Kluyveromyces lactis: one gene and its partners. The protein of the gene in region 1 purifies or fractionates together with the protein of each later gene. This does not show direct contact. Links are inferred from orthologs where the notes say so. Each region holds a gene or a part of one and is shown in the gene's direction. Other genes may lie near its edges. The genes, in order: SIT4, MRPL3, CCT6, ACC1 and CCT2.

The links.
Region 2: the proteins of SIT4 (region 1) and MRPL3 purify together in Saccharomyces cerevisiae (affinity purification with mass spectrometry; 3 studies listed by BioGRID). This does not show direct contact. The link is inferred for Kluyveromyces lactis from reciprocal best matches to the Saccharomyces cerevisiae genes SIT4 and MRPL3.
Region 3: the proteins of SIT4 (region 1) and CCT6 purify together in Saccharomyces cerevisiae (affinity purification with mass spectrometry, with the first as the bait; 3 studies listed by BioGRID). This does not show direct contact. The link is inferred for Kluyveromyces lactis from reciprocal best matches to the Saccharomyces cerevisiae genes SIT4 and CCT6.
Region 4: the proteins of SIT4 (region 1) and ACC1 purify together in Saccharomyces cerevisiae (affinity purification with mass spectrometry; 4 studies listed by BioGRID). This does not show direct contact. The link is inferred for Kluyveromyces lactis from reciprocal best matches to the Saccharomyces cerevisiae genes SIT4 and ACC1.
Region 5: the proteins of SIT4 (region 1) and CCT2 purify together in Saccharomyces cerevisiae (affinity purification with mass spectrometry, with the first as the bait; 4 studies listed by BioGRID). This does not show direct contact. The link is inferred for Kluyveromyces lactis from reciprocal best matches to the Saccharomyces cerevisiae genes SIT4 and CCT2.

The regions. Positions count from the first base shown.
Region 1 is NC_006040.1:312,158-317,582, reverse strand, and holds SIT4 (type 2A-related serine/threonine-protein phosphatase SIT4), read left to right. Parts: upstream 1-2,410; coding exon 2,411-3,340; downstream 3,341-5,425. Other genes in the region: THP1 (Thp1p), read left to right, coding at 376-1,737; KLLA0_D03630g (SCO family protein), read left to right, coding at 3,984-4,922; OLA1 (Obg-like ATPase), read right to left, coding at 5,212-5,425. UniProt on the Saccharomyces cerevisiae protein: Involved in the dephosphorylation of the large subunit of RNA polymerase II. Is required in late G1 for normal G1 cyclin expression, bud initiation and expression of certain genes that are periodically expressed during late G1.
Region 2 is NC_006041.1:684,758-690,271, reverse strand, and holds MRPL3 (mitochondrial 54S ribosomal protein mL44), read left to right. Parts: upstream 1-1,882; coding exon 1,883-2,830; downstream 2,831-5,514. Other genes in the region: KLLA0_E07679g (uncharacterized protein), read left to right, coding at 1-71; MSS1 (Mss1p), read right to left, coding at 33-1,538; KLLA0_E07613g (uncharacterized protein), read left to right, coding at 3,054-3,662; PEX12 (ubiquitin-protein ligase peroxin 12), read right to left, coding at 3,713-4,708; fructose-bisphosphate aldolase FBA1, read right to left, coding at 5,089-5,514. UniProt on the Saccharomyces cerevisiae protein: Component of the mitochondrial ribosome (mitoribosome), a dedicated translation machinery responsible for the synthesis of mitochondrial genome-encoded proteins, including at least some of the essential transmembrane subunits of the mitochondrial respiratory chain.
Region 3 is NC_006040.1:1,553,798-1,560,020, forward strand, and holds CCT6 (chaperonin-containing T-complex subunit CCT6), read left to right. Parts: upstream 1-2,940; coding exon 2,941-4,575; downstream 4,576-6,223. Other genes in the region: CDD1 (cytidine deaminase), read left to right, coding at 188-631; methionine aminopeptidase MAP1, read left to right, coding at 1,158-2,285; SLY1 (syntaxin-binding protein), read left to right, coding at 4,938-6,223. UniProt on the Saccharomyces cerevisiae protein: Molecular chaperone; assists the folding of proteins upon ATP hydrolysis. Known to play a role, in vitro, in the folding of actin and tubulin. In yeast may play a role in mitotic spindle formation.
Region 4 is NC_006042.1:580,986-587,897, forward strand, and holds the start of ACC1 (acetyl-CoA carboxylase ACC1), read left to right. Parts: upstream 1-2,290; coding exon 2,291-6,912. UniProt on the Saccharomyces cerevisiae protein: Carries out three functions: biotin carboxyl carrier protein, biotin carboxylase and carboxyltransferase. Involved in the synthesis of very-long-chain fatty acid synthesis which is required to maintain a functional nuclear envelope.
Region 5 is NC_006039.1:983,465-989,596, reverse strand, and holds CCT2 (chaperonin-containing T-complex subunit CCT2), read left to right. Parts: upstream 1-2,597; coding exon 2,598-4,187; downstream 4,188-6,132. Other genes in the region: RIM8 (Rim8p), read left to right, coding at 333-2,051; END3 (End3p), read right to left, coding at 4,338-5,480. UniProt on the Saccharomyces cerevisiae protein: Molecular chaperone; assists the folding of proteins upon ATP hydrolysis. Known to play a role, in vitro, in the folding of actin and tubulin. In yeast may play a role in mitotic spindle formation.

The DNA.
Region 1 (5,425 bases):
AGTTGATGTTTGGGGCTTCTTACTGAGGAAGCTGTAAAAGTATGGTTCATCATACACAATAGCAGAAAGGTGTCCATATCGTTAGCAAGCGCATTCGGAGGTTGGGATTAGGCGAAACACTGTATGTAAACCCCAAAGAGTGTTTATGGATATATGTCGAGGCAAGTCTTCAAGTGACTTTATCGATCACGTGACAAGAAAAATCAACAAACGGAAATCATGGTCTCTTGAAACATTGTACCTGGCTCATCTAATATTAAGGTTAGAATCAGACAAATCAGAAAAACTTCTGGTTGACATTTGACTCAGATCACCTTTATAGGACAAACTTTGAATTGAAAAGCGCCAGTGGATTTTCCTTTGTGGTTTTTGGTTATGGACCATTTCTTTGGGGCTCTAAAGGCAGGTGATTTTAGTGTATTGGATATAAACATCGAAAGAAATGGACAATTAATTCTTGAATTGCAACAGTTTTTGAGATCCAATGACAGCATTGACCTTGAGACCCTGATAAATTCACATTCTCTTTATGAGAACAGATGGACCAGGTTTAATAATTTGGTAAGTTCATTTCTTGGGTACTGTAAAGAACTGAATCCATATTCATTATGGGAATCGTCCTTCTCTGTGTTCCAATATTACCAGGATTTGAATACATGTCTCACAAACGAGACAACAATGTACCCTATTGATTCTTTGGTACCACTGTTTACAGCTACAACAGAATTGGTCATTCCAATGGCTATTAGATTGGATGCTAACCATAAGATCATTGGTACAAGACAGCATCAGTTTCTGACCCATATTGCTTCCATCATTTCCAAATTGTTCAATAGCATTAAAGCCAGGGTCGATGATGATAAGGTCGAATTTGATCATTTGTCAGGGAAACAGAAGGTCTTGCTTTATATTTCAAACAAATTGAACATGATTTATTTCAAGATTAACTCCCCATCTTCGTGCGCTAACATCTTCAAGAATTTGAAACCAAAGTCTAATATCTATTCGTTCAACCAATACCCGTTGACAGAGAGAATCCAGTATAGGTATTACTTGGGGAGATATTACCTATTAAACCATAGAATGGTTAATGCTTTCCATCAGTTGAACCAATGTTACGAACTCCTAGCCACATTACCCGACTCTATTGCGAAACAGAACAACAGGAGAAGATTGTTGAAGTTTTTAGTTCCATGTGGTATCATTATCAGCAAGTTGCCAGATTTCAACAAGTTATCTCAATGGGACCCTATCCTAGCACAGAAATACACAGCTCTTGTGATTGCCGTTAAAAACGGAAACTTGAACAGAGTAAACTTCTGGCTTTACGAGAACGAATCGTGGCTGAAATCATCTAAATTGTTGATTGTTCTATTGGAAAAGCTACCCATTATAACGTTCAGATCCCTTTTGCGATCTATTTTCCTATACTACTGTATACCGCGCAATTCAAATAAACTACCATACTCTGTGATAAGACCAATTCTAGCAAAATCCATCGGTTTATATCCACCTGAAATGCCATCGATATATAAAGACAATTACACCGCAGAATCACTTGAAAATATCCTTGTCACACTTTCAATTCAACAATTGTGGAAGGGAAATGTGTTTCCAAGCCTGCAAGTGTGCGTTACGATGAAGACTAACGATATCTCAGTAATCTTCCCTAATATCAATGAAAAGATCGTCTCTAGATTTTCGTTGAACCAGGAAGATTCCTGGCTCGATAAGTAAATGATAGATAATATACATATAGTATGTAAAAATAGATGACACAGCCCCTCCTAACCTGATTCGGGTCCCACTATCATACCCAGTCGTGAAACACTTTTGGAAGACTCAATTTTTACAGACATGTCTATATAGATATAAGAATGCTCTCACATATATCTGTTTGTCTTCCAGGTCACATTCTGCAAAAAAAAGTAAGAAATTGAAGAGAAGTTGAAATTTTGTTGAAGTTTCCATTATTTTTGTAAAAGGACTGATGATTACAACAGAAAACAAAGAGAGAAGGAAACATCCTTATAGCTAACTACTTTGTTAACAAGCTTTTAGCCATCAACAAAGAGTAGTGATATAGGGCTGTTCTTTGTTTGAGCTATTGAATTTTCCTATAGTGAGTGAGTGTTTCTTGTTGAAAAGAAAAGGTGCAAGAAATACTTCCAAACACAGGTTTTAAGCTTGTTGTGGTTTTTATTTACAAGAACGCTAATCATAATCACTTTACAAGAAATTCAGAAGGAATTTATCCCAATTTTTTCACAGGTAAGGACTGGGTTTTATTATAATTATTATTTTTTTTATTGACCTTTGAACTTTATCTTCCCTTGTAAAGGTTAATTTGCCATTGCATAAGTTCATCTATCTATAGAGCGTTTTGTCTCCGGAGTGCTAAAATATCACAATGTCAGATAATGGGCCAGATTTGTGGCTTGAGAAGATCAAGAAATGTCAGGCTTTGACGGAGTCTGAGATGAAACAGCTATGCGAGATGATGAAGGAACTCTTAATGGAAGAATCGAATATTCAGCCGGTTCAATCGCCGGTGACTGTTTGTGGTGATATTCACGGACAATTTCATGACCTTTTAGAACTATTCAGAACTGCTGGTGGGTTTCCTGATCAAGTAAACTATATTTTTCTTGGTGACTATGTAGATCGTGGTTATTACAGTTTGGAGACGTTCACACTTCTTATGTGTTTGAAAGTGAAATATCCTTCCAGAATTACTTTGGTTAGAGGAAATCATGAGTCGAGGCAAATTACACAAGTTTATGGGTTTTATGAGGAATGTTTAAATAAGTATGGTTCCACAACGGTTTGGAAGTATTGTTGTCAAGTGTTTGATTTCTTAACTTTGGCAGCTATTATTGACGGGAAAATTTTATGTGTGCATGGTGGTTTGTCTCCCGAGATTAGAATGCTTGATCAGATCAGAGTTCTATCGAGAGCCCAAGAAGTTCCTCATGAAGGTGGCTTCTCCGATTTGTTATGGAGTGACCCCGACAACGTGGAAGCATGGCAAGTCTCACCTCGTGGTGCCGGATGGTTGTTCGGTAGCAAAGTCTCACGAGAATTTAATCATGTGAATGGCCTAAGCCTAATCGCAAGAGCTCACCAGCTAGTTATGGAAGGATTCAAATACCATTTTCCGGAGAAGGATGTTGTAACGGTATGGTCTGCACCTAATTATTGTTATCGATGTGGTAATGTGGCGAGTGTCATGAAAGTCGAAGATGATTTAGATCCAACATTCAAAATTTTTTCCGCTGTACCTGACGATTACATCCAAGAAACAAACAATAATAACCAAAGAGGTGGATATTTCTTATAGAGCGACATTGCAGCGGCCTTTTTGTCTGTATAATCTTCTATGCGAACTTACATCGGACTAAACATTCTTTTTCTCCTTCTATTTGAGAATTCCTTCTTAATATACTGTACACTAGAAATCAAACATTTACCTAACTTTTACGAATTCAAAGATATCCATCAGGAATTAGGATTTAATTGGAAAGTGGACTATAAACAACGTAATTTTTAATGGGTTGAAATCATTACTGAGAAACCAACCCCCCTGAAACTTAAATAGTCTAAAACCCGGTAATATATATAGATATATGTATTAATGATAACGTTTAAACTGCCATTATGTCTTTCACGAGGCTTCACAGAGTCCTGATCTAATCCAAACTAGATCATCGAATATATTCAATTTGATATGGAATCATATATAGAATATCGTGTGTAGAATAGGTTTTTTTTTTTCTTACCAGTATCTCTTCAGCTCCAAAGCTGCATTGAAATATTTAAAATTTCAAGAGCATTTTATACAAAAAATGTAGCCATATGATTGCACTTATAACTTTCATAAATGATGTGATACCAACAAAACGCAGCATTTTGGTTACTCACATCGGGAATAAACGGTTTAACAATAACAAGGATTGCTAATACAGTATCAACTATAAATTGTAATGTTACGCAGCATTGTTCGCGTCCCTAGTATTACTTTTGCTTCTAAAGAAGCAATGAGACCAGTGCTAAGGAAAACTACCTTGGCCCATTTTATGAATCATTACAGATCGTTATCCGTATCTGCAACCAAGTTACAAGAGATTAAGAAATATGACCCTGCCCCTGCAGTAGGTAGTCCAAAACCTAAGAAGAAGCCATTAAGTAGGATACCCATTGGCGGTGCTGAAACTCATACCCAAAAAGTTGATACAGGTTCTACCATCGAATTTACTACCTGGAAAGCAGCAGCTTTGTTCATTCTTATCGGAGGCGGGGTGTACTATTTCTTTAAAAATGAGAAGCAAAGATTAGAGACCGAGAAGGAGGCGGAAGCTAACAGAGGTTACGGTAGGCCATTGGTCGGAGGTCCCTTTAGTTTGATTGATTTTAATGGGAATCCATTTACAGAGAAAGACTTGCTAGGCAAGTTCTCTATCATCTATTTTGGTTTCAGTCATTGTCCAGATATTTGTCCAGATGAGTTAGATAAGTTAGGAGCATGGTTAACTGAGTTAAAGAAGCGTGACATCAATTTGCAACCTGTTTTCATTACTTGTGACCCGGCTAGAGATCCACCAGAAGTCTTGAAAGAATACCTAAGCGAGTTCCACCCTGACATTATCGGTTTAACTGGTGACTATGATGCCGTGAAGAATGCTTGCAAAAAATACAGAGTCTATTTCTCTACTCCACCAAACGTCAAACCTGGCCAGGATTATTTAGTTGATCATTCCATTTTCTTCTACTTGATGGACCCAGAAGGTCAATTCATTGATGCCCTAGGTAGAAACTATGACGAACAGACTGGTGTTGAAAAAATCGTCGAACATGTATCTGCTTATGTTCCAAAGGAAGAACGTGAAAAGAGAAAGGACAAATGGTATTCCTTCTTGTTTTAAACACATTTATCTTGCTTTCTTGTAAATAAATAAAGCGTGTTTCGCAACTTCATGTAAGCTCAGTATTTAACATTAACACATCAAATATACGTTTTCAGTAGGGTATTTTCATTCTTGAATTACGGACGTTACGTTAGCCATATAACGATGAGGCATGAAATTTATATATGAGAATTATGGACTGAAATTAACAACTAAAAAAGAGAAGTGGGGGCCTCATTGTTCGTGAGCAATATGCAAGCAATGTCAACCCTTGTAATATGACGGGTCCTATAATTGTGATGTTCTCTCAATTCTTACCGGCACCGGCTCTGAAGTAGATGATATCACCGTCTTCAACAACGTATTCCTTACCCTTCTGTTGCAATTTACCTGCGGCCTTAATGGCATTGTCATCTTTGTATTCGACCACATCTTCGTATTTCATAACTTGAGCTAAGATGAAAGTGTTCATTAAATCATTGTGAATGACACCTGCAGCTTGGGGAGCTTTAGTTCCTCTT
Region 2 (5,514 bases), on another chromosome or scaffold:
AATTGGCAGATGAATGGGAAAACTATTTACAATTACTTGCCGATACAAAACTTCGAAAAGACAACGTCTAAAACCTCTTCCAAGTCAACGTTATCACCAGTTATCTTCCCAATTCCATCGGAAGCTATTCTAAGTGATTCGCAAGCTATTAATATATCGTCATTCTTGTGCTGGAAGAACTGATCTAGGCCGAATAGAATATCAGTGCTTAAAATTTCTTTGACTCTATTGGACACGGTGACTGGATCTTCATTCTCAGTTGCCGAGATTCTTCTGAAACTTAATGTCAAGGTCTTAACTAATGGTTCCAATCCAATTTTGGTTAAGCAAGAGACTGTATGAATTTTCAGGGCTTTAAATTCTGCATCGAACTTTTCAATTAAGTATTTTAACTGGGTTTCAGTAGCTAAATCCGATTTATTCAACACGACAATTAAAGGTTTATCAGATAAGTTATCCTTGATAAATTCTTCAAAATGTTTACTTATATTTGGGTTAGATACATCAATGACCAATACCACTAAGTCACTTTGTAAACTTTTCTTTTTGGATCTGTCAATACCTTTGATCTCAATAGAATCTGAAGTTCCCTGTCTGATCCCTGCCGTGTCAGTCAAGATACATTTAAAACCGTTAATGTCCATCATTACATCGATAGAGTCTCTTGTGGTGCCCGGTATATCACTGACAATCGCAACGTCGTCTTGAGATATTTCGTTAACTAATGATGACTTCCCGGAATTTGGTTCACCCAACAATGTTAACTTTATCCCATCGTTCAAGACAGCCATTCTATCTAATTTCACCATGAATCGAGTCACTTTTTTGTATAGTTGTAAAAGTTTATCATTGGCACCATTCACTATAGAATCGATATCTTCCGTTTCGATATCTTCACCAAAATCAATAATTGCAGTTAGTTTAGCGATCTGCTCTATAATCTCTTGTCGCCATTCATGGAAAATGTCTACGGTCTGATTGCCATGCAATGCAGACAATCGCTGTAATTCTGTATCTGAATGAATCATATTGTTGATACTTTCAAGCTTCAACAAATCCATTTTCCCATTCTGGAAAGCTCGTCGACTGAATTCTCCCGGCATCGCCATACGAATATCTCTTTCAGAGTCCCGCAAACCCTGGATTGAGTTTAACGCTGCCTTTATAATAGCTTTCCCCCCATGTAGATGCAATTCCACTAAATCTTCACCTGTAAAGGTCCGTGGTTGTGGGAAGTACAAGACTAACGCTTCATCTATCAGAGTTGATGCCTTGGGATCATATAATGACCGAATCATCGGTTTCCTCTGCCGTAGCGGTTTTTTTGGCGACAATTTTTTTAAGATATACTTTGAATGTGTACCCGATATCCTAATTATAGCTATTGCAGAGTGCTGATTTGATGGCGTTGATAATGCATACACTGTAGGATGGAAAAATGTCGCTGGAACACTATAAAACCGTCGCAACATTGGGCTGAACATCACTTTTTGCGAAAAATTGAACCAAATGAGAGTGGGATCCTTGTAGACTACCATTACGATTCCAACTGCAATTTATGGTAGTTTAGAATAGTCTGTAAATATGTTTAGCTACCGATTCATCGACAATCCATAGCATAAGTGCGCCGTATCAGAAAGAATCTGGAATAATGAGATGTCTGTGAAAACATATTATTATCACGTGACTACTCGGAAAACATCAACAGTCTACTATATCCGGGTAATTGCAGATCTCAGTATCGAAATATTGAAAAAAAATTTTAGTGAAAGAGTTACAGAGAGAGGATGGAAAGAAGTTGAGTGATGCAGTGAGCTATTGGTGAGGTTTGCCATTGATATATACAGCAATCAACATCACCATCGAGGGGGGTTAAAGAAGGATGTCTGTTTTGAAGCTATTGAACCCTGTGCGAGTGCGAGGATTTGCTTCTTGTGCCAGGTTGTACCAATCAGAACTGTCATCATTGAAAGAATATAAGAATACCATCAGTACACTGTTAAAGAACCCTGCACATGAACTAACAAGCCCCAATTTAGTTGCACTCCATTCCAGATTAAGATTGCCTCAAGGCTTATCCTATTCTCTTTTGTCCAGATGTTTGACGTGTCGTTCTAGTGGGGAAGTGAACTATGACAATGTCAGTTTGAACATTTTTGGTAAGAGTCTTTTAACTTTGGCAGTTACATCCGAGCTAATGAAAAAATATCCTAGGCTACCGGGTGTGGTTTTGAATGCTGCTGTGGATGCATATATTAACGACCATGTTTTGAGCAATGTCGGTCGTTCCTGGGGTATAGAACCGGAAACTCAAAGTGTAGTGGATAGATATGCAAAGAAAGAAAATGTTACCATTACATTGGGTAAACTACGTTATTTCCAAAATTCCGTAGATGAATTGCATAACTTCACTGAGAACAATGCTATGGCAGTTGCCGTAAGGAGTATATTCGCCGCTGTATACAGTGTCGACAAAGATTTCAACCAGACACATAAGTTTATCGCAGATCATATTTTGTCCAGAAAGCTGGACGTTAAAGATTTGTTCGCGTTCGAACAACCAACCAGAGAACTGGCAGCTTTGTGCCGTCGCCAAGGATTGGAAAGACCGGTATCGAAACTACTTGCAGAAAACGGTAGATTGTCTAAATCACCCTTGTTCATCGTTGGCGTTTTCAGTGGTGAAGAGAAATTAGGCGAGGGTTACGGTTCATCTTTGAAAGAAGCTAAAGCCAGAGCCGCTACAGACGCTTTGTTGAAATGGTACTGTTACGAACCAGTGCATGGCCAACAGAATGTCGTTATTGACCAAGGCGAAGTGTTAGTATAGACAGGCCGCATCAGCAATGTATGTTTTCCACATAATCCTTTTCAGTTGAGATCAACTTTTAAAGATTTCTTTCCCTGTAAATATAATATACAAATACATAATAGTAATTCATACACTGTTGTACTCGAACGAAATAAAAAAGGAGGTTGTACGAAACTTAGTTGTGTCTTGAGGCCTTGCCTTATTTATAGCTAGATCCTGTTCTGCATTATTTGATCAAGATATGGATTTGAAGGAGGAAGTTCTGCTGCAAGTTAATTCGACGATCATTGAAAGTAAAGGAGGTCCGTTACTATTTATCCTTGTATTGGAAAATGAAATAGCATCACAGTGTTTTCTGTGTGATGGAGTTGGAAACGTTGATACGAAGCTCAGCCTTTTCAGCTGGAAATCCTCTGATCCAATTGGAATCCTAATGGTTGACCCGGACATTTACGATTACGATGACATGTTACAGTCGTTGAATTCGAAACAATACATTATTAAATCCAAGTTCCATTACTTCCCTGAAACTAGCAATTTGATACAATGGCATGAGAGTGTACGATATCCTTATAAGCTAATCAACTGTGGAGTAGAAATTCAGGATGATCATTCCGATTTAAAACTATTAAAACGTGATTTAAAAGATCATTTGGATAGGATGATTCAATATCTTGAAGATAATGATAGACCAAGCGATGAAATCTTGAAAGAAATTTGGTTATTAAAGCTAAGATACAGTAGAACATCGGCTCCAGACTTAGATTCAGAAATCTCTAGGCTGGAATCTGATATAATGATGATGCAAACGATGTTCAATCAAATGGAAACCAATGCAGAATTATTCTAATGCTACTGGCTCAATTATTCTCATTATTCATTTACTAAATTAATGCAAAACTATATTAATAACTTACGGATGCGTTTATCTATGGGCACACCAGTCGCGAAACATGTATTTTCTGTGCTTACCCATTTCTTGGCACACTCTAAATTAGCGACATATCCAGATGAAATCATGGCAGGTTCTGTTATTTCTTCGCCGCATAGGGGACATACGTCAGTCGTATCATTGTTATCCACCTCTGATGCTACGCCAGGTAGTACTGGAGGTTTTGGTCTCTTTACTCGTATCTCTTTCTTGAATAATTCAGGCCGCTGATTGATAATTTGTAAAATTCTGATCATCACTAGGAAGCTCGGGAATAACTTGTCCAAGAACATGGTCGATGTGCTCTCCACTGCATCCTTGGTCATAGCTAATATTCTGGGTAAATTAGTTCTTTTACGACGACGTTCAGAAAGAGTTAAAGTATTTTTCCTACTTGCAATTCCTTCTTCGGGTTCTTGGTATCGTTGGTATCTTATTTGTGTTATGAAATGGATCATATCAGTGTCTTTTGAATGACGCAAGTACTTTAATTTGAAACAGAAATTTATCACTTTGATAGTCTTCTGTAGCTTAGGATAATAGGCATCAAACCATTGTTGCCATGAGCTCAATTCTGGGCTCGTCAATTTTCTGGACTGCAAGAGCTCATGGTATTGTTCACAGATATCACTAACGTATTCGAATAAACAGTCATTCAACCAAATTCCTAGAAAGGTTAATTTAGGGAATCTAGAAAACCTTTTCAATCCATAGAACTTGTCAAGAATTGTGGCACCTGTTGTTTTATAATGTCTGTATTCAACCAAAGATTTAATCACCAAGATTATGAAGTCAAATTTATTAAAAATCTTCAACAGCCATCGTGTTGGTCCTCTATATTGGAGATAAATGGAGAAAATATACCTTAAAGTTGGTTTGATTAACTTCTTCACTTCATTGACAGAGAGTATTTCGAATAAAGTCGGTTGTTGTAAATTCACCGGGAGATTGGAGTAAAAATCCATCGCTTTGAGTCCTCCCTGTTTCTTGTATTTGTTTCTGGAGTTGTAATTGTGTTAAGGGACTATGAACGTGACTTTGTTTGATTGTAACTGTTCCTATGTTTTTTAACTCTGCTTTCATATTTAAGCCAAACTGGACTATGAGACAAAGTCGATCACGTGAGAGAAAAAGACAAATGCAGTTCGATAACAGGTAAGTCCTCGGTAGCGTCCAAGGATAACACTGGTGAACGTATCCGATGCACAGCGGATCCCTGCCAATCATTTTGTAACTAATGGTTCAGATGTCTTCATTTGATCATTTCATGCGTTCTGGTATTTAAATTGTATATAGAAAATTATAAGTTAAATTGTTTGGGATAATGGTACTAAACAAAAGAACTTTATTCCAAAGCACCCTTAGTACGGAAGATTTCCAAAGCTTGAGTGATTCTCTTGCTCATGGTCTTTTCACCTTCTCTAACCCAGACTCTTGGGTCGTAGTACTTCTTGTTTGGAGAGTCTTCACCGGTTGGGTTACCGACTGGGGTCATCAAGTAGTCCTTCTTGTTCAAGACGTAGTCTCTGATACCGGACAAGTAAGCGAATTGACAGTCAGTATCCAAGTTGACCTTTACGACACCGAAATCGATGGCAGTATGGAAGTCCTTGGTGGAGGAACCGGAACCACCGTGGAAGACCAAGTACAATGGCTTGTCTTCTGCCTTCTTGTTTAATTGCTTAGCAGCGTAGTCTTGGAAAGTACCCAACAATTCTGGTTTTAGGGCAGCGGCGATCTTGTAAACACCGTGGACGTTACCGAAGGCACT
Region 3 (6,223 bases), about 1.2 Mb from region 1:
AGTAAAAGCAGCCAAGACGAAATCAAGCAGATAGTGACATATTTCATTATATAAAATCTCGATATGATAACGATGTATTTCTCACACAAGAAGATATCAGCCATCGTTGTATAAAGAAACCAAGAGGCGAGCGTATAATACACGCTGGACCCAGTTCGCTACTGAATACGCATCATTGCAGTATAAAATGGAGATCAAGAGCAAACTGGACGGTATTGAACCTACACAGGTAGATAGAGCCATTTTAGAGAGTCAAAAAGCAAAAAGTGGTTCCTATAGTCCATATTCAAAATTTAGGGTCGGATGTTGCATACTGACAAAAGATGGTACTTATATCACAGGAAGCAATGTGGAGAATGCTACGTATGGAGCCACCATATGTGCAGAAAGAGCTGCTATCGTGAAAGCTGTCACAAGCTCCCACAGAGCAGATTGGGTTTGTGTCGCTATCAACAGCGATATGAGAGATAATTACATTCCGCCATGTGGAATCTGTCGGCAAACGATCAGAGAGTTTGGAAAAGAAGATCTGCCAATAATAATGACAAACTGCGACACCTCTGTCAAAAAAATTATGACCCTCAATGAACTATTGCCAGAAAGCTTCGGCCCAGATCACTTTCATAGGTGAGCTAAGATTCGACTCTTTTTTGTGCAAGATTTGAACTTTTCCATAGTAAGAAACGAAATCAAAAATCAAGAAAGTTCTATATAGTAATTATTCATTAGCGTTTTGAGAGAAAGTTAAGAAAACATGCCTTTGGAAAACACCTTCTCATAAGCTAGCTACTTAGGATCAGAAGTAACCGCCAGTTAATCAAAATTTTCTAAGCACTATTCTCTCAATCGCCCTAAACCGAGGTTGTTCCTAAGATATTTAGAAATGTGTCATAGATAATGCGGAGTCTTCGCACTGTAGAATTAAAAGAAAAGTATGACATTTAAACTCATCTGACTTTTCAAATAAAATTTTTTGTTTCGACCTTTAATAAAGAACATGAGAACGAGATGCGATGAGAGAAGCTCAGATACAGCTCTTTCTACTCCTCTCTCTCACTTATTTATACCAAACGTATTCCAAGTGATATAGAAGGTGTTTCTGAACTGCACTTACTGACATAGCAGCTGTAAATCTTGGAAGACACTAAGAGGAAAAAATGCAGGAAAAAATCGCTAATGTCCGTTGTTCTAGTCTACAATGTGGTAAAGTTACAGATTCGATGTTAAAATGCCCGATTTGCTTGAAGCAAGGTATTGAAGAGGTCTTTTGTGGAGAATCTTGTTTCAAAGACGGGTACAAACAGCATAAGGCTTTACATTATGGTACAGATGGTTCTGGTGAGGTGTATGATCCGTTTCCAAAATTCAAGTATACTGGCAAGCTGAAAGCTCAATACCCTCTGTCGCCAAAAAGACAGGTCCCAGATGAGATCGAGAAACCAGATTGGGCAGAAAATGGGCTACCCATCATCGAACAAAGAAATGATAGAACAAACAAGATTCCTGTCTACAATAAGGAGCAAATTAAGAGGATCAGAAAAGCTTGTGCTCTAGGTAGAGAAGTGCTAGATGTTGCGGCCGCCGCAGTTAGACCAGGTATCACTACGGATGAAATTGATGAGATAGTGCATAACGAGACTATCAAGAGGGGAGCATACCCATCTCCTCTCAACTACTATAATTTCCCTAAATCCGTCTGTACTTCTGTGAACGAGATTATCTGTCATGGTGTTCCTGACAAATATGTTCTAAAAGAGGGAGATATTGTCAATTTAGATGTCTCATTGTATTACCAAGGCATGCATGCAGATTTAAACGAAACTTACTACGTTGGTGAGACTATCGCCAAGGATGTCATAAATACCGTTGAAACTGCCCGTGAATGTTTGAAACTCGCCATCAAGATGTGTAAACCAGGCGTAACTTTTCAATCCTTGGGAGACTGCATTGAAAAGCACTCCAAATCCAACAAATGCTCTGTTGTTAGGACTTACTGTGGTCATGGTGTCGGTGAGTTTTTCCACTGTGCCCCCAGCATTCCACATTATGCTAACAACAGAACGCCCGGTGTCATGAAACCTGGAATGGTCTTCACTATAGAACCTATGATTAACGAAGGTGTATGGCAAGATATCACCTGGCCTGACGATTGGACTTCTTCAACAAAGGATGGTAAAGTTAGTGCTCAGTTTGAGCAAACCCTTTTGGTCACCGAGAATGGTGTTGAAGTCTTGACGGCAAGGAACAAGAAGTCTCCAGGCGGCCCAAGAAATAGGATAAAATAGACCCAGTGAAATGACAATAGTTAAAAAATGAATATCAATAGAGAAAGTTACTGTTTACCTCGTTTCGTATAGGAAACAATCCATAAAACAGCCATCATCGTCGTCATAACGGACATCATTTCGGCATAGTCTTTCATGTGAATAGATTCAATACATATCATCATATAAATCAATTTACAGAAGACCAAAATATTTAGAGAATTCTCATTGAAAACCACTATTAGTATTTATTATACTGAAGATGTGCGGTCCTACTAAAGTATAATCTTCATCATCTTTGCATAAATATGAGGATCACGACAGCATGGATTGTTGCTTTGCTTCAATAACCGGGTAACCATTAGCTTTCGCCACTTCCAAAGAAAAAAAATTAATCGAAAACAGTGATCTAAGTTTTCTGATGGAGAAAGTAAAGCTTTTAATTATGGCTAACGTTCGGTGTTGAAGAAGAATAACATTCAAAAGAGTGAAAGATACTGTTGCATTTTCGTCCACAACGTTGATTCTAATAGAACCGAAATCAATCTATACTCTCTAATATTTAGTTGTGATATTCATTGCAGTCAATTGCTTGCATCTTATTATCCAGATCAAAAGTCATAATTTGACAATACCAATTACGTGCAGTGCATAATAGAGAGAAAGCAAGATAATTATGTCAGTTCAGTTGTTAAATCCAAAGGCCGAGTCCCTAAGAAGAGATGCTGCTTTAAAAGTCAACGTCACTTCAGCGGAGGGTCTTCAATCCGTTTTGGAAACTAACCTAGGACCTAAGGGTACTTTGAAAATGTTGGTCGATGGTGCCGGTAATATCAAGTTGACCAAAGATGGTAAAGTCCTATTGACTGAAATGCAAATACAGTCTCCGACTGCTGTCATGATTGCTCGTGCAGCCACTGCCCAAGATGAAATTACTGGGGACGGTACTACAACCGTTGTCTGCTTGGTGGGAGAACTGATGAAACAAGCTTATAGATATATTCAAGAAGGTGTCCATCCAAGAACAATTACTGACGGGTTTGAGATTGCAAGAAAGGAAACCTTAAGTTTTTTGGATACCTTCAAAATCGAAAAGAGCGCTGAGGAGGATTTGGATCGTGAATTTTTATTGCAGGTTGCCAGAAGTTCCTTATGTACTAAAGTCAACCCAGAACTCACTGAAGTTTTAACACCAATCGTCACTGATGCTGTTTTGGCTGTTCAAGATCCTAACAACAGAAATCTAGATTTACACATGATTGAAATAATGCAAATGCAACATCTATCTCCACAGGATACCACTTTTGTTAAAGGATTAATTTTGGATCATGGAGGAAGACATCCTGATATGCCAACCAGAGTCGAAAATGCACATGTTTTGATTCTAAATGTTTCTTTGGAATATGAGAAGACGGAAGTCAACTCTGGTTTCTTTTACAGCTCTGCTGACCAACGAGACAAGTTGGCTGCTAGTGAAAGAAAATTTGTTGATGAGAAATTAAAAAAAATCATCGACTTGAAGAATGAAGTATGTGGTATGGATTCTAAAGAGGGTTTTGTTATCATAAACCAAAAAGGTATCGACCCAATGTCATTAGATGTTCTTGCTAAACACAACATTCTTGCTCTAAGAAGAGCCAAGAGACGTAATATGGAAAGACTACAACTCGTCACTGGGGGTGAAGCTCAAAATTCCGTTGATGATCTTTCGCCTAAAATTTTAGGTTATTCCGGATTGGTTTACCAGGAAACTATCGGCGAGGAGAAATTTACTTACGTCACCGAAAACAGAGATCCTAAGTCTTGTACCATTTTGATTAAAGGTTCTACTCACCACGCTTTGACCCAAACCAAAGATGCAGTAAGAGATGGTTTAAGAGCTGTTGCAAATGTCATCAAAGACAGTGCTGTCGTTCCTGGCGCTGGGGCATTCTTCATTTCTGCTTCCCAGCACTTGAAAAGGGCGAATATGAACAAGCTAGGCGCCAAAGGTAAAGCAAAAACAGGTGTACAAGCCTTTTCAGACGCACTTTTGTCTATTCCTAAGACATTAATAAAGAATTCCGGATATGATGCCCTTGATGTACTTGCCCAATGCCAAGACGAGTTGGAAGAAGATGAGACAAGAATAGTGGGTGTTGATCTAAATATTGGCGACTCTTGTGATCCAACTATAGAAGGTGTTTGGGACTCTTATCGTGTCCTCAGAAATGCAGTAACTGGTGCCGCAGGTATAGCCTCTAACTTGTTGCTATGCGACGAACTACTCAGAGCCGGTAGATCTACATTGAAGGAAGGTCCACCACAATAATGAAGCTGGTACAATTAAAAAATATCACTGTCTTTAACGTAGGTTCCAAAATCAAATAGAATTATGTATACTAAATGGAAATAAATACGAAGTACAAGACTCAAGTTTGGCCGATGTATATGTAATATGCGATCTCTTCACGAGTGCTATAGATCCAAATCTACGTGTTGGCCAAATACCGTTTCCATCACCGAAAACGAAATACTAATATACTTCAAAAAATGATTAAACATCAAAACTGGAAGCACCTTTATAATAAACAGACACACCAAAAGTACAGAAAGTACGGACGAGAGTGAAGTCATTGACTGCAAACCATTGAACAGCATACCTCATCGGGATCACATATATACCAGAGTAATATGCTGAATTCAGAATTGTCCTTAAGAGACAGACAGATTCTGTCTATTGAAAAGATGCTACTGTTCAATTCAGATAAAGGAACGGAAGCAGCAACAAGCAATCTTGATGAACAAGAGATCGTTTGGAAAGTACTGATCATGGATGCTAGGAGCACCGCTATAATATCATCTGTTATGAGAGTCAATGACTTGTTAAAATCCAATGTTACAGTTCACGCCCTTATCACACAACAGAGATCCCCTTTACCTGATGTTCCAGCAGTGTATTTCGTGGAACCAACAGAAGCGAACATCGATGCGATTGTCCAGGACTTGAAAGAAGATAAGTATTCAGAAACATACATCAATTTCACAACTACATTGAAAAGAGATCTTTTAGAAACCTTTGCAAGCAAGGCTTCTGCTACTGGCAAGTCTGACAGAATAAAACAAGTGTACGATCAATATTTGGATTTCGTTGTAACAGAACCGGAAATGTTTTCATTGGAGATGCCCGGCACTTATGGACTTATTAATAATCCTCAGAGTTCTGAGGACGTTATCACTAATCTATGCGATTCAATTGCTACTGGGATCTTCAATGCTATCGTCACAATTGGAACTATACCTATTATTAGAGCACAAAGGGGTGGTGCTGCTGAAATGGTGGCTCAAAAACTTGAAACCAAACTGCGTGATTATGTCAATGGTACCAGATCTTCAGCTAGTGGATCAACTTCATTTGAGCGGTTTGTTCTTGTTATAGTGGATAGAAATATTGACATTGCTTCTATGTTTGCACATTCCTGGATTTATCAATGTTTGGTATTTGATGTTTTCAAATTATCAAGAAACACTATAACCATGCCTACCACCAACGAGCAAAACGAAGAGGTTATTAAAAAAATGGATATAGACCCAAAAGATTTTTTCTGGATTGCCAATTCTCATCTACCATTCCCTGATGCTGTCGAGAACGTGGAAACTGAACTTTCGAATTACAAAAAAGATGCAGAAGAAATTACCAAGAAGACTGGTGTAAGCAATTTGACAGATCTTGATCCAACAGGACAAAGTGACACTATACAAATTCAAGAAGCTGTGAAAAAATTACCACTTCTCACAGCTAGAAAATCTACCATTGATACACACATGACAGTTCTCGCAGGGCTTTTGAAACAGCTTGAAAGCAAAGGCTTAGATTCTTTCTTTGAGTTGGAACAATCTTCCGATTCTTCTAAAACCAGACAAGATTTCCTTGCTGCTCTTAAAGATGGAAAGACTAACAACATCGAAGATAAGGCGCG
Region 4 (6,912 bases), on another chromosome or scaffold:
ATTTTCATTCCAACAGCTGCTCACCCCTTGTATGCTTAACGCTTTTTTCTATACCGTTGTAACAATTTGTCTATAACTTAACTATCTTTCTCTCATGTCAGTCAGTTTATACTATTTCCGCTTTTTTTTTTCTGACGTCTTGTAGTCGCAAACCACAAGAAACCGCAAGTCACGTGATCTCAAACCCTCATCTATCGCTAATCTATTCTAAAATCCAATCGTTGCAGCTTTCACATAAATAACCGCTGTATATCAACCGAATACAACTACTCCATTTCCTTCATTCAAAGATTTGTTCCCTTAAAACGCCAAACGTTCTTTCAGTCTAAAACCAAGCGCATTGCGGTTAATTGCTATTATCTGCCCAGATATAACACACTTCTTATCCTAAATTCTGTTGCATACCGTTGCTGTCAACGTGACGTGTACCAAATTGTTGGTACATGAATCATCTTGAACGACCACGGATAGTATGAACTTATGGGATCTTTATGAAATGTTCTACAGAAAAACAAAAATCCAACAACGATCCCAACAAGTTTTCAAACTTTTTCTTTCCCAAAAAAAAAATAGTGCTATGAAATTTCAAGTATGGTGAAATCACCACATCGTTTGGATGAAATGCCTAGACTGGGATGTAGAATGGATAGAACCAAGTTTTTTTTTTTTTTCTCTTCTCATCTTTTTGTTTGTTTTGTTAGTTTAGTTGAAATTTTGTCTAGATGAAGTGAAATGCACTCGGCGGCTTTTTATAAAGAAGAGGTTTTCCTGCTATTTTTTTCAAGCAAAGGGGTTTAAATAAACTTCGTGAATTTAAATTATATCAATTCTCTAAATCTTCTTAGGTTTTTATACATTGTATTTTCTGTCTTTCTGAAACCTCTTGACTCACTTTCAATTGATCAGTACTCTGTGGAAACTCATCAAGAGAAAGGGCTAACTAGAAGAGATAAGATATTTTAAAGATATCCAAGGAATAATTTTAGTTTGAAACTGAATTACTCAATATACACAACAAACAACAACAACAACTTGTATTGAGAATATTTATTTGTTCATCCTATCATATTCATTCTGATTTCCTGTTAATATTGACAATAGGAGTTTCACACAATTAAATCTGTCCCTTTTTGAGTACAACTATTACTAAAAGGTCATCAGCCCTCTGACAATTAATATCTGGATATTGCGTCAATTGTATTGAACGCATTTGCCTAGTAATACTATTTTTTTACCCTTCACGATTTTAATTTTGAGGTTATAAAGTTTAAAGAGACTTTTTTGTCCGTGAAAAGATGTATGTATAAACTAAACTAAACTATTACTAATAATGAAAACCTCTTTGGAGTTTATTTTTTGACAAGTTGAGATTGACATTGGAAACAAAGAATTACTGGAACCGCCTTACTCCTCTATTATTACTTTTCAACCAATTGTTTCTCAGAAGATTTTATCTTAATATCAGTTTTTGAGAAAATGAAGATTGTTGGGGAAAAAATACGATACTGCATATTTTGAAATTTTGAAACCGTTTCCTTTTGTACACGATTATTGCGCTAAGGTTTTTCAATGGGTTCTACTTGTTCGTTTTTGAACTTTATTTTTTGGTTGAACGAAAGTTGAAAATTGAAAATCCAATGTTTTTATGCACAATTGAGGATGGCGACTGGTAAACGACAGAAGCATCAACTCCATTTCGTCTAGTGTATGTGTGAAACCTGTCATCTGTGAAGAATAGGTATATTGTTTAGCAACGAGAACAACTAACGTTGGTATTCCTTAGAAAGCGAAACTGATAGTGTGGCTAGAAAATCCCCACATTGTTCACATCTTTCAAGCCTTCGTTTAGTACTACATTGTTCATCGCACAATAATAATATTGCCGATAATCTCATAACTGCAGCGTTCCACAGCAATATATAGGCATATGTGAACGATTTTTGCCGAGTTACAGTTTTATTTTCAGCCCACATTCGATATTACATCACTGTTCCCCTTCATTGTCTGTCTGCTGTCAAAAACTAAAACTTCATAGAGGTTAAAGAAAGTTTTGTTAAAAAGAGTAAGCATAAACCGAATAGTACGTTTGCTAGTTTCTTTTTTTCAGAAACTTTCTATTATTATCATTATTGTAACATTGATCAAATTGACTAACTTAACTCTTTACAGACTGTTCCCGGTTTTAGCTAGACATTCTCGGTTCATTCCGCTCGCCAACAAATTTACAGTTCATTTTAGCATATTTTCACCAAGACTATTCCATTCTACACGCAATATATTAAGAAGCAAAATGAGTGAGGAAAATCTTTCTGAGGTTTCAATCTCTCAAAGTAAACAATACGAAATTACTGAATATAGCGATAGACATTCCAAGTTGGCTTCTCATTTCATTGGTCTGAACACTGTGGATAAGGCAGATGATTCTCCATTGAAAGAGTTTGTCAAATCACATGGTGGTCATACTGTGATCTCAAAGGTTTTGATCGCTAACAATGGTATCGCAGCCGTTAAAGAAATCAGATCGGTTCGTAAATGGGCCTATGAAACCTTCGGCGATGAAAGAACTGTTCAATTCGTGGCCATGGCCACTCCAGAAGATCTTGAAGCCAACGCAGAATACATTCGTATGGCTGATCAATATATCGAAGTTCCCGGTGGTACCAACAATAACAATTATGCAAACGTTGACCTAATTGTTGAAGTTGCCGAAAGAGCTGATGTAGATGCAGTTTGGGCAGGTTGGGGTCATGCTTCAGAAAACCCACTACTCCCTGAAAGGCTAGCCGCTTCTCACAGAAAGATTATATTTATTGGTCCACCAGGAAATGCCATGAGATCTCTCGGTGATAAGATCTCGTCCACTATCGTTGCCCAACACGCTAAGGTTCCTTGTATCCCATGGTCTGGTACTGGTGTCGATGAAGTTCATGTTGATAAAGAAACTAACTTGGTCTCTGTCGAAGATAAAGTATACCAAGAAGGTTGTTGTTCGTCTCCAGAAGACGGTCTAAAGAAAGCCAAGGAAATTGGTTTCCCAATTATGGTCAAGGCTTCCGAAGGTGGTGGTGGTAAAGGTATCAGAAAAGTCGAAAATGAAGATGAGTTCCTGTCTTTGTACCAACAAGCTGCTAATGAAATTCCTGGTTCTCCAATTTTTATTATGAAGTTGGCTGGTAAGGCTCGTCATTTGGAAGTTCAACTTTTGGCTGATCAATATGGTACCAACATCTCTCTATTTGGTCGTGATTGTTCTGTTCAAAGACGTCATCAAAAGATTATCGAAGAAGCTCCTGTAACTATCGCTAAGCCAGATACCTTCACTGAAATGGAAAAAGCAGCCGTCAGATTAGGTCAATTGGTTGGTTACGTTTCTGCTGGTACCGTCGAATATTTATATTCTCATGATGAAGACAAGTTCTACTTCTTGGAGTTGAACCCAAGATTACAAGTTGAACATCCAACCACAGAAATGGTTACTGGTGTTAACTTGCCGTCTGCCCAGTTACAAATCGCTATGGGTATTCCAATGCACAGAATCAGAGATATTAGATTGTTATACGGTGTCGATCCAAAATCTGCATCCGAAATTGACTTTAACTTCTCTACACCTGAGTCTGCTAAAACTCAAAGAAAACCAACTCCTAAAGGTCACTGTACTGCCTGCCGTATCACATCCGAAGATCCAAATGAGGGTTTCAAACCATCTGGCGGTGCTTTACACGAATTGAACTTCCGTTCTTCTTCCAACGTTTGGGGTTATTTCTCTGTTGGTAATAATGGTGGTATCCATTCATTCTCTGACTCTCAATTCGGTCATATCTTCGCCTTCGGTGAAAACAGACAAGCTTCAAGGAAACATATGGTTGTTGCTTTGAAGGAATTATCTATCAGAGGTGATTTCAGAACTACGGTTGAATATTTAATCAAATTATTGGAAACCGAAGACTTCGAAGACAATACCATCACGACTGGGTGGTTGGATGATTTGATTTCTCAGAAAATGACAGCTGAAAAGCCTGATAGAACCCTATCTGTCATTTGTGGTGCCGCTACCAAGGCTCATATTGCCTCCCAAAAAGCCAGAGAAGATTACATCTCATCTTTGAAGAGAGGCCAAGTTCCAAACAAATCATTACTACAAACAATGTACCCAATTGAATTTATTCATGATGGTATGAGATATAGATTTACTGTTGCTAAATCAGCCGACGATCGTTATACTCTATTCATTAACGGTTCCAAGTGCGAAGTTGGCGTAAGGAAGTTATCTGATGGTGGTTTGTTGATTGCCGTTGGTGGTAAATCACACACCATTTACTGGAAGGAAGAAGTTGCTGCTACCAGATTATCAATCGACTCTAAGACAACTCTACTAGAGGTTGAAAATGATCCAACACAACTCAGAACTCCATCTCCTGGTAAATTGGTCAAGTTTTTGGTCGAAAACGGTGATCATGTTATTGCTGGCCAACCATATGCCGAAGTTGAAGTTATGAAGATGCAAATGCCATTGATTTCTCAAGAAAATGGTGTCGTTCAGTTATTGAAACAACCAGGCTCTACTCTGGCCGCCGGTGACATTCTAGCCATCTTAACTCTAGATGACCCTAGTAAAGTCAAACATGCTAAGCCTTACGAAGGCATGCTACCAGAATTGGGTGCTCCAATCGTTGAAGGTACCAAGCCTGCATACAAATTTAAATCTTTGGTCACTACTTTGGAAAACATCTTGAAGGGATACGACAATCAAGTTATTATGAATGCTTCATTGCAGCAATTAATTGAAGTGTTGAGACAACCAGAATTACCATACTCTGAATGGAAATTACAAGTTTCTGCTTTACATTCAAGATTACCACCTAAGTTAGACGAAATGCAAGAACAATTGGTCACCCGTTCATTCAAGAGAAATGCGGATTTCCCAGCAAGACAACTAGAAAAGATGTTAGAAGCTGCCTTAAATGATCCTAACGTTGACCCATTGTTTAGCACTACCATTGAACCACTTGTTGATATTACTACCCGTTACTCTAAGGGACTTGCTGCTCATGAACATTTTGTCTTTGCCACTTTCTTAGAAAACTATTACAATGTCGAAAAATTGTTCTCTGGGCCAAACATTCGGGAAGAAGACGTCATCTTAAAATTGCGTGATGAGAACCCTGACGACTTGGAGAAGGTTGTTTTAACCGTCCTAGCTCACTCCAGAGTATCAGCCAGAAACAACCTGATCCTTGCCATTTTGAAGCATTATCAACCGCTATGCAAATTGAGCTCTGAGGTAGCCGCTGCTATCGAACAACCATTGAAACACATCGTCGAATTAGAATCTAAGGCCACCGCTAAGGTTGCTCTACAAGCCAGAGAAATTTTGATTCAAGGTGCTTTGCCATCTATCAAGGAGAGAACAGATCAAGTTCAATACATTCTTAAGTCATCTGTTTTAAGCACTTCATATGGTTCATCCGAAACGAAGCGCACAAAACCTGATTTAGAAGTTTTAAAGGACTTGATCGATTCCAACTATGTTGTTTTCGATGTGTTGGCCCAATTCTTGACAAATCCAGATGATGCCGTTTCTGCTGCTGCTGCCGAGGTCTACATTAGAAGAGCATACAGAGCGTACACTATTGGTGATTTGAAGCATCAAAAGTCTTCTGGATCACCTGTAGTTGAGTGGAAGTTCCAACTTCCATCTGCTGCATTCACCTCATTGCCACAGGTTAAGAGTAAATTGGGTATGAACAGAGCTATTTCTGTCTCTGATTTGACTTATGTCTCTGACGGTGAAAACCAACCATTAAGAACTGGTTTGTTGATTCCTGCTAGACATCTAGATGATGTTGATGGTATTTTGTCGTCAGCTCTATCTTTAATTCCTTCTCATCATATGTCTACTGGCCCTGTCCCAGACAGATCTGGCTCTTCAGCCAGCTTGTCTAATGTTGCCAATGTTGTTGTGTCTTCAACTGAAGGATTTGAATCTGAGTCGGATGTTTTAAAGAGACTCAGAGAGATACTCGATTTAAACAAGCAATCATTAGTTGACTCTGCTATTCGTCGTATTACCTTCGTGTTTGGATACAGTGATGGTACATATCCAAAGTACTATACCTTCCGTGGTCCAAATTACAATGAAGATGAAACAATTCGTCACATTGAACCAGCTCTAGCTTTCCAACTTGAACTAGGTAAGATGTCGAACTTCAATATCAGACAAATATTTACTGAGAACAGAAACATTCATGTCTATGAGGCCGTTGGTAAAAACTCTCCGGTTGACAAGAGATTCTTTACCAGAGGTATTATCAGAACAGGTCGTATTAGTGACGACATTTCCATCCATGAATATTTGACTTCAGAAGCTAACAGATTAATGAGTGACATTTTGGACAACTTAGAGATCATTGACACTTCTAACTCAGATCTTAACCATATTTTCATTAACTTCTCTGCTGTATTTGACATTTCGCCAGAAGCTGTTGAAGCTGCCTTTGGCGGTTTCTTGGAAAGATTTGGCAGAAGATTGCTCAGATTACGTGTTGCCGCTGCTGAAATCAGAATTATTATCAAGGACCCTCAAACTGGCACCCCGGTTCCAATCAGAGCGTTGATCAACAACGTCTCGGGCTTTGTTGTGAAGACTGAATTGTATACAGAGATCAAGAATGCACAAGGTGAATGGATTTTCAAATCTTTAGATAAACCAGGTGCTATGCATTTGAGACCTATTGCCACTCCTTATCCTGCAAAGGAGTGGTTACAGCCAAAACGTTACAAGGCTCATTTGATGGGAACCACATACGTTTACGATTTCCCAGAGCTATTCCGTCAAGCCACCGTGGCACAATGGAAGAAACACTCTCCAAAGACCAAGTTGTCAGACGATTTTTTCATTGCAAATGAATTGAT
Region 5 (6,132 bases), on another chromosome or scaffold:
CTCAGCTATTACCAATTTTTTTTTCATTCTTCAACTTAATTTTTGAATAAATTTCCATTCTTTAATGGCTTTCTTGCTTAGAAAAAAAAAGTAGAGAATAGTCTAAAACTTGCACTGCGCCATTATATAACAGCATGGATCTTCGAGTATTTACTATCACGGATATATAAACCAAACGAACATAGAGTCCAAAGGGTGAAACAAGATAAGGGAGAGCTTTAGATTTTTGAAGACATAATTGTGCTTAGGTTGTGTGCCGGCTTGTATTTTTCTTTCGTGTTCCTTTCGTTTATTTTTGGCCTCCATATAAGAGCTTAAAGTCGAATTAGACCATGGGATTATTTGATAAACTTCTGCGGTCGAACGAACGAGCTGAGCGAGGTTCTCCTAGTGCATTTGTGGTGAGTAGCTTCGATTCAGTGAGCAATGCTGGCAAGAGCTCCATTTTCAAGCACTCCGGTATGAAATCGTACATTTTGGAGTTTGAAATTGTACTTGATGATGTGCACAGAGTGTGGAAACCGAACGAGACTATCAGTGGGACTGTGAAGCTTCGATTGAGAAAAGATGTGCCTAATGTTTGGATTAAACTTGCTCATATAGGAGAGTTTCAACTCCATTCCAATAACCCGATGACCGCAGGTTCTCTAAAATCGAAATACTCTGATACAGTGTTTTGCAGGTCCACGAGTATTTATGGTAGTGAGGAGAATCCATTACACTTGACTGGCGGTGAACACAAGTTTCCATTCTCTTGTAAAATTAATGGTAAGAACTTGGTGAGCTCGATAGATTTTAAGAAGGGTTCCATAAGATATTGGGTTCAAGCAGAGCTTCATGCCCAAAAGACGCCTCCTATCTTTTGCAAGCAGCATTACCAGTTGATTGTGCCAATAGACGTCGGCCAATTACCAAAGCCAAATATCAAGACGGTGGTCTTACAATCACCCAACTCAAGCAATAATGGAATCCATGTTAGAAGACTTATGGCAGCAGGTTCTGCAGACCCACAAGACGGGGCTTCGTCTCTGACTAGGAAAACAGGCGGATCCTCTACTATCACTAATGGTTCATCAAGCTCAAATAATTCAGGTAATTCCAACGCTTCCATGCTCGCTGATAACAAGACTGTCAAGATCTCGGTAGAGATTCCCTGTCTAGGATACACCATCGGAGAAGAAATTCCGGTTAAAGTCCACGTCACTCATTACAAACAATACTTCCACCCTGCGGGGTTGATTGCAACGTTGGTCAGAATCTCTCGGGTTTCAAACCCTAGAAATACAGAACAGATCGAAACATTTAGAAAAGATATCTGTCAAGGTGTTGCCCCATTATATACAGACCCCGAAACGCATGAAGCTGTTATAATGTTGAAACTAAAGGTTCCATTAGACACCTTCCCGAGTTTGGATTTAAAGAATAAGTTCTTCACTTTCCAGTATTACGTGGAGATCCTAGCAAATTTGTCAAGGAAGAATTTGGTATACACAGAGTCCAATAGACTTGTGGGTGGACAGAGAACTAGTAGTATACCGATGCCGTCGAACAAGTTTTCGATGTTCCAAGACCTCTCAAACCAGGGTGAGGTTACTGCTGGCGAAGATGATTCAGTAACGTTTTTCCAAGATTTGATTAATGTAGACAGACTCAAACGTCTAAGAAACGTTACAGGTATGTCAATCGAAGTTGTGATCGGAACACACAGAGAAGAACATGAGCCTGAATCGCCCACAGTGGACCGTCTGGATTCCCATTCTATCAACCAATTACCTGATGATGTGGATGCAGTTTACAACCAATGCTCTAGCGCTGAATCTCCAATAGACGAAGCTTACGACTATTTGTTACATAGACATAACGGGCCATCACCTTCCTCTCGTATCTTCACGGATACGGATATGACTTTGTGCTATCCGGCTGACCCTGTTCCACTGTATAGTCGTGGATTAGATGACTTCACTGGGTGTTCAATGTCAGGTGTTACAGATGATAAACAAGAACTAGAGCAAATGCGGTTGAAAGAATTGGAAAGCGAACCGCCCATATAATAAAAACAGTTATGAATAAGTTATCTCATAAAACTATATATAAGATATAATGCATACCCTAATCAATATACGTCGACAAGAGATCCCTTTGCCTGAAACGAGTAATGAGAACACATATTCTGGCATCAATGATCATTTAATATTTAAAGAACTCAAAATGACTTTCCAAGTTGAATTTAGTAATACCGTTTAAACAATGCACAATTAATAATTATTTGTTTGGTATATAAAACGCCATTACAGGTGTCATTTTTCGACCCAGCAATTACCGAGAGTTGCTATCAATGAGATCGTCTACCCCAAATTTGCGGACTGAAATGATGATAGAAGCAATGTTAATTATGATGTTTTCAGGTATTTCCCTTTCACGTGACGTTATATGCCTGTAGTTGATTTTTCGTCAGAAAAAAAAAAACTACTAAATTGTATGAAGATGGAATAAGTATGTTTGCAGAATACCAGATAAAATATCACGGTGGCCAATTCTTTTTGATCATCCTCTACTTCCAACAAAGTTAGCAACAGTCCGCCAAACATCAAGTAAGAATGAGCGTTCCGATTTTTGGGGATCAAGTTACCGAAGAAAGGGCTGAAAATGCTCGTATGAGTGCTTTTGTCGGTGCCATCGCTGTAGGTGATTTGGTGAAAACTACTCTAGGACCAAAAGGTATGGACAAGCTACTTCAAAGTGCATCTAACAACACTAGCATGGTAACAAATGATGGTGCTACTATTCTTAAATCGATTCCATTGGACAATCCCGCCGCTAAAGTTCTTGTGAACATTAGTAAAGTCCAAGATGATGAAGTTGGTGACGGTACTACCAGTGTTACAGTTTTAAGTGCTGAGCTATTGAGAGAGGCTGAGAAATTGGTCGAACAAGGAAAAATCCACCCACAAACCATTATTGAAGGTTTCAGAATTGCATCTGCGGCTGCTCTATCAGCATTGGAGAAGGCCGCTGTGGATAACTCGAATAATAAGGAAGAGTTCTACAACGATTTGATCAGCATTGCAAACACGACACTTTCATCTAAAATTTTGTCTCAAGATAAAGATCATTTCTCAAAATTGGCAACAGATGCCATTCTCAGATTGAAGGGTTCCACCAATTTGGAACATATTCAAATTATCAAGATCATTGGTGGTAAGCTTTCTGATTCTTTCTTAGATGAAGGATTTATCTTACCAAAAAGATTTGGTAGCAACCAGCCAAAGCGCGTGGAAAATGCTAAAATTTTGATTGCCAACACTTCTCTAGATACTGACAAGGTCAAGATCTTTGGTACCAAGTTCAAGGTTGATTCTACGTCTAAGCTTGCAGAATTAGAGAAAGCTGAACGTGAAAAAATGAAAAAGAAGATTGAAAAGATTGCTAATTTCAACATCAACACGTTCATCAACAGACAGTTGATATACGACTACCCTGAACAAATGTTTACAGATCTAGGAATTAACTCCATTGAACATGCTGATTTTGAAGGTGTGGAACGACTAGCACTTGTGACTGGTGGTGAAGTTGTTTCGACATTTGACAATCCAGAAAAATGTAAACTTGGTGAATGTAAGCTCATCGAGGAAATCATAATCGGTGAAGAAACTTTCACAAAGTTCAGTGGTTGTAAATCTGGTGAAGCTTGTACTATTGTACTAAGAGGTGCAACCGAACAAGTATTAGACGAAGCTGAAAGATCTCTACATGATGCTTTATCTGTCCTTTCACAAACAACAAAAGAAACCAGAACTGTTTTGGGTGGTGGTTGTGCCGAAATGATTATGTCAAAAGCTGTTGACACAGTAGGGCAAAATGTTGAAGGTAAGAAAGCACTTGCTGTAGAATCTTTTGCAAAAGCCCTAAGACAATTGCCTACTATTCTTGCGGACAACGCTGGTTTCGATAGTAGTGAATTGATCACAAAGTTAAGATCTTCGATTTACAACGGCATGAGTACATCAGGTTTGGATTTGGATAACGGCACCATTGCTGACATGAGAGAACTAGGGATCGTGGAAAGTTATAAATTGAAAAGAGCTGTAGTAACCTCAGCCAGCGAAGCAGCCGAAGTCCTCTTGAGAGTGGATAATATTATCAGGGCTAAACCAAGAACAGCCGATAGACAGCACGGTCATATGTAAATTAATTAAATTAGTACTAAGCAATCACCACAAACGTTTAAATTTCGTTCTAATATCCAAAAAGTTAAGCTAAGAAGTGAATTATCATTATACATGAAACAACGTAGTTCAAAATTTACTCCAGAAAGTATATAGGGTAGGTCAATAACCTCAGTAAAGAGATTGCACCTCTATCTTCAAATTATGCAGTTCCGACTTCTTTGTTTTCAGGTACTCCTCCAACATTTGTACTTGCTGCTCAATACTCTCTATATCATCCCTCAAACCTCCAACATCAACGCTTTCTGAAGAAGTATTGGAATTATTGACAAGGTTTTTTTGGTATTCCAAGAACTGTTCTAACTGTTGTTTTACTAATTTCATTCTATCATTTGAGTCATTATGAGAGGTGGATTGTTGCTGTGCTGACGATAATTCAGAGTCAATATTTGCCAATTCCCTTTGAAGTCTGACTACTTCCCAATCAGTTCCCTGAGTAACAGAAAAATCAGTACCACCACGTTTTGGTATTTGGTAAGATGAAGAGTTAGATGTGGATAGTGTTGGCCTTCTTACTTCGCTCTGCTTGGAAGACAAATCCGTGGAAACTCTAGTCTTTGTAAAAGTTTCTTTCAATGCTGAAGGTAAATGTGATGGTATTGGGCAAGCATAGTCGTTCACTTGTCTCAGAATATGAATAAAGTATAGTGCTGGATCCTTATCTATGGAAGTGTCAAGCTTAGGATTAACCAAACGCCACGTTTTTTCTAAATCTTGAGATGATAGATTGATATACTTCGATCTAACGGCGGAGGATAGTGAAACATAAGATACACTATTGTCTCTAGAGGTTATGGCTGATTCATAAATTGATTCGTATTGTGACTTATCATCTCTTGATATATACCAATCAACTTCTTTTTGATAATCGTCTACAGCTGGCGAAGATGTCGGAACATTGACCACAGAACTTGTTTCTGCTGTTCCGCTACTACGTTCAGTTTTTCTTTGTTTGACTAATTCGGCTTTTGAACCGGGAATCAACCAATCTGGCAATTCATCTGGTACAGAATCTATGTTTTTATTAACCATGTCAAATATCATTCTCATACAAATCACAAACTCTTCAAAATCTAGTTGATCATCATCATCGATATCGGCCAAAAACCATATTTTGTTAAGTATCGAGGTGTCCAATTTAGAATTGAAAAGGATAGGCAGTACTTGATCATGGGTCAACTTATTTTCCACCGGTTTCAATCCGGAGAAAATTTGCCAATACTTTTTGATCTCAAATTGTTCAAGCTTTGGCATCTTAAATTGGTATTTGAATTATCTGTGGAGTCAAGCGCGATTAAAATAGAGGTCAGATATCAAATTAACACTGAGCTCAAACGTAATGTTTTCTTTGAAGTATGCCTGCGTTACTCACAATCAGTCAAAGAGACAGGAACAAATAAAACAAGAATATGTTATACCTGCTATCGCTCTAGCGTGTTCTTCGGTTTGAATCGTTTGGAACCTTATCTACTTCAATAAATTGCAATTTAAACCTTTTGGATAGTTCATCGTATTGATCTTAACAGTAATATCACCCATTTCAGTGCTGAAAGAAAATCAAAATTCCATTGACCTACATTACAAAAAGGGGAAGTCACGTTATACGTAACACACGTGACCTTGAATAATAGTCAAACAACCCCTCACGTGACAAGAATTTGTATCTGTTTTTTTTATATCTTTTTGGTGGATGCTACTGGTTTACCCGGTGTTCGCGTTATATCCTATTTTGGTAACACATTTAGAGAAATCGCGAAATGTTTTAAGGATGCCAAAAGAAGAATTATAAGTGAATCTTCAGAACTTTGAGGTAGGTGAGAATTTGGGGGACCAGAAGTAGAATGTGAGATGAAAAAAGCTAAGACAGGGTTGTAGAGGATTTCGATTGTTTCCAACTGGCCCGTTA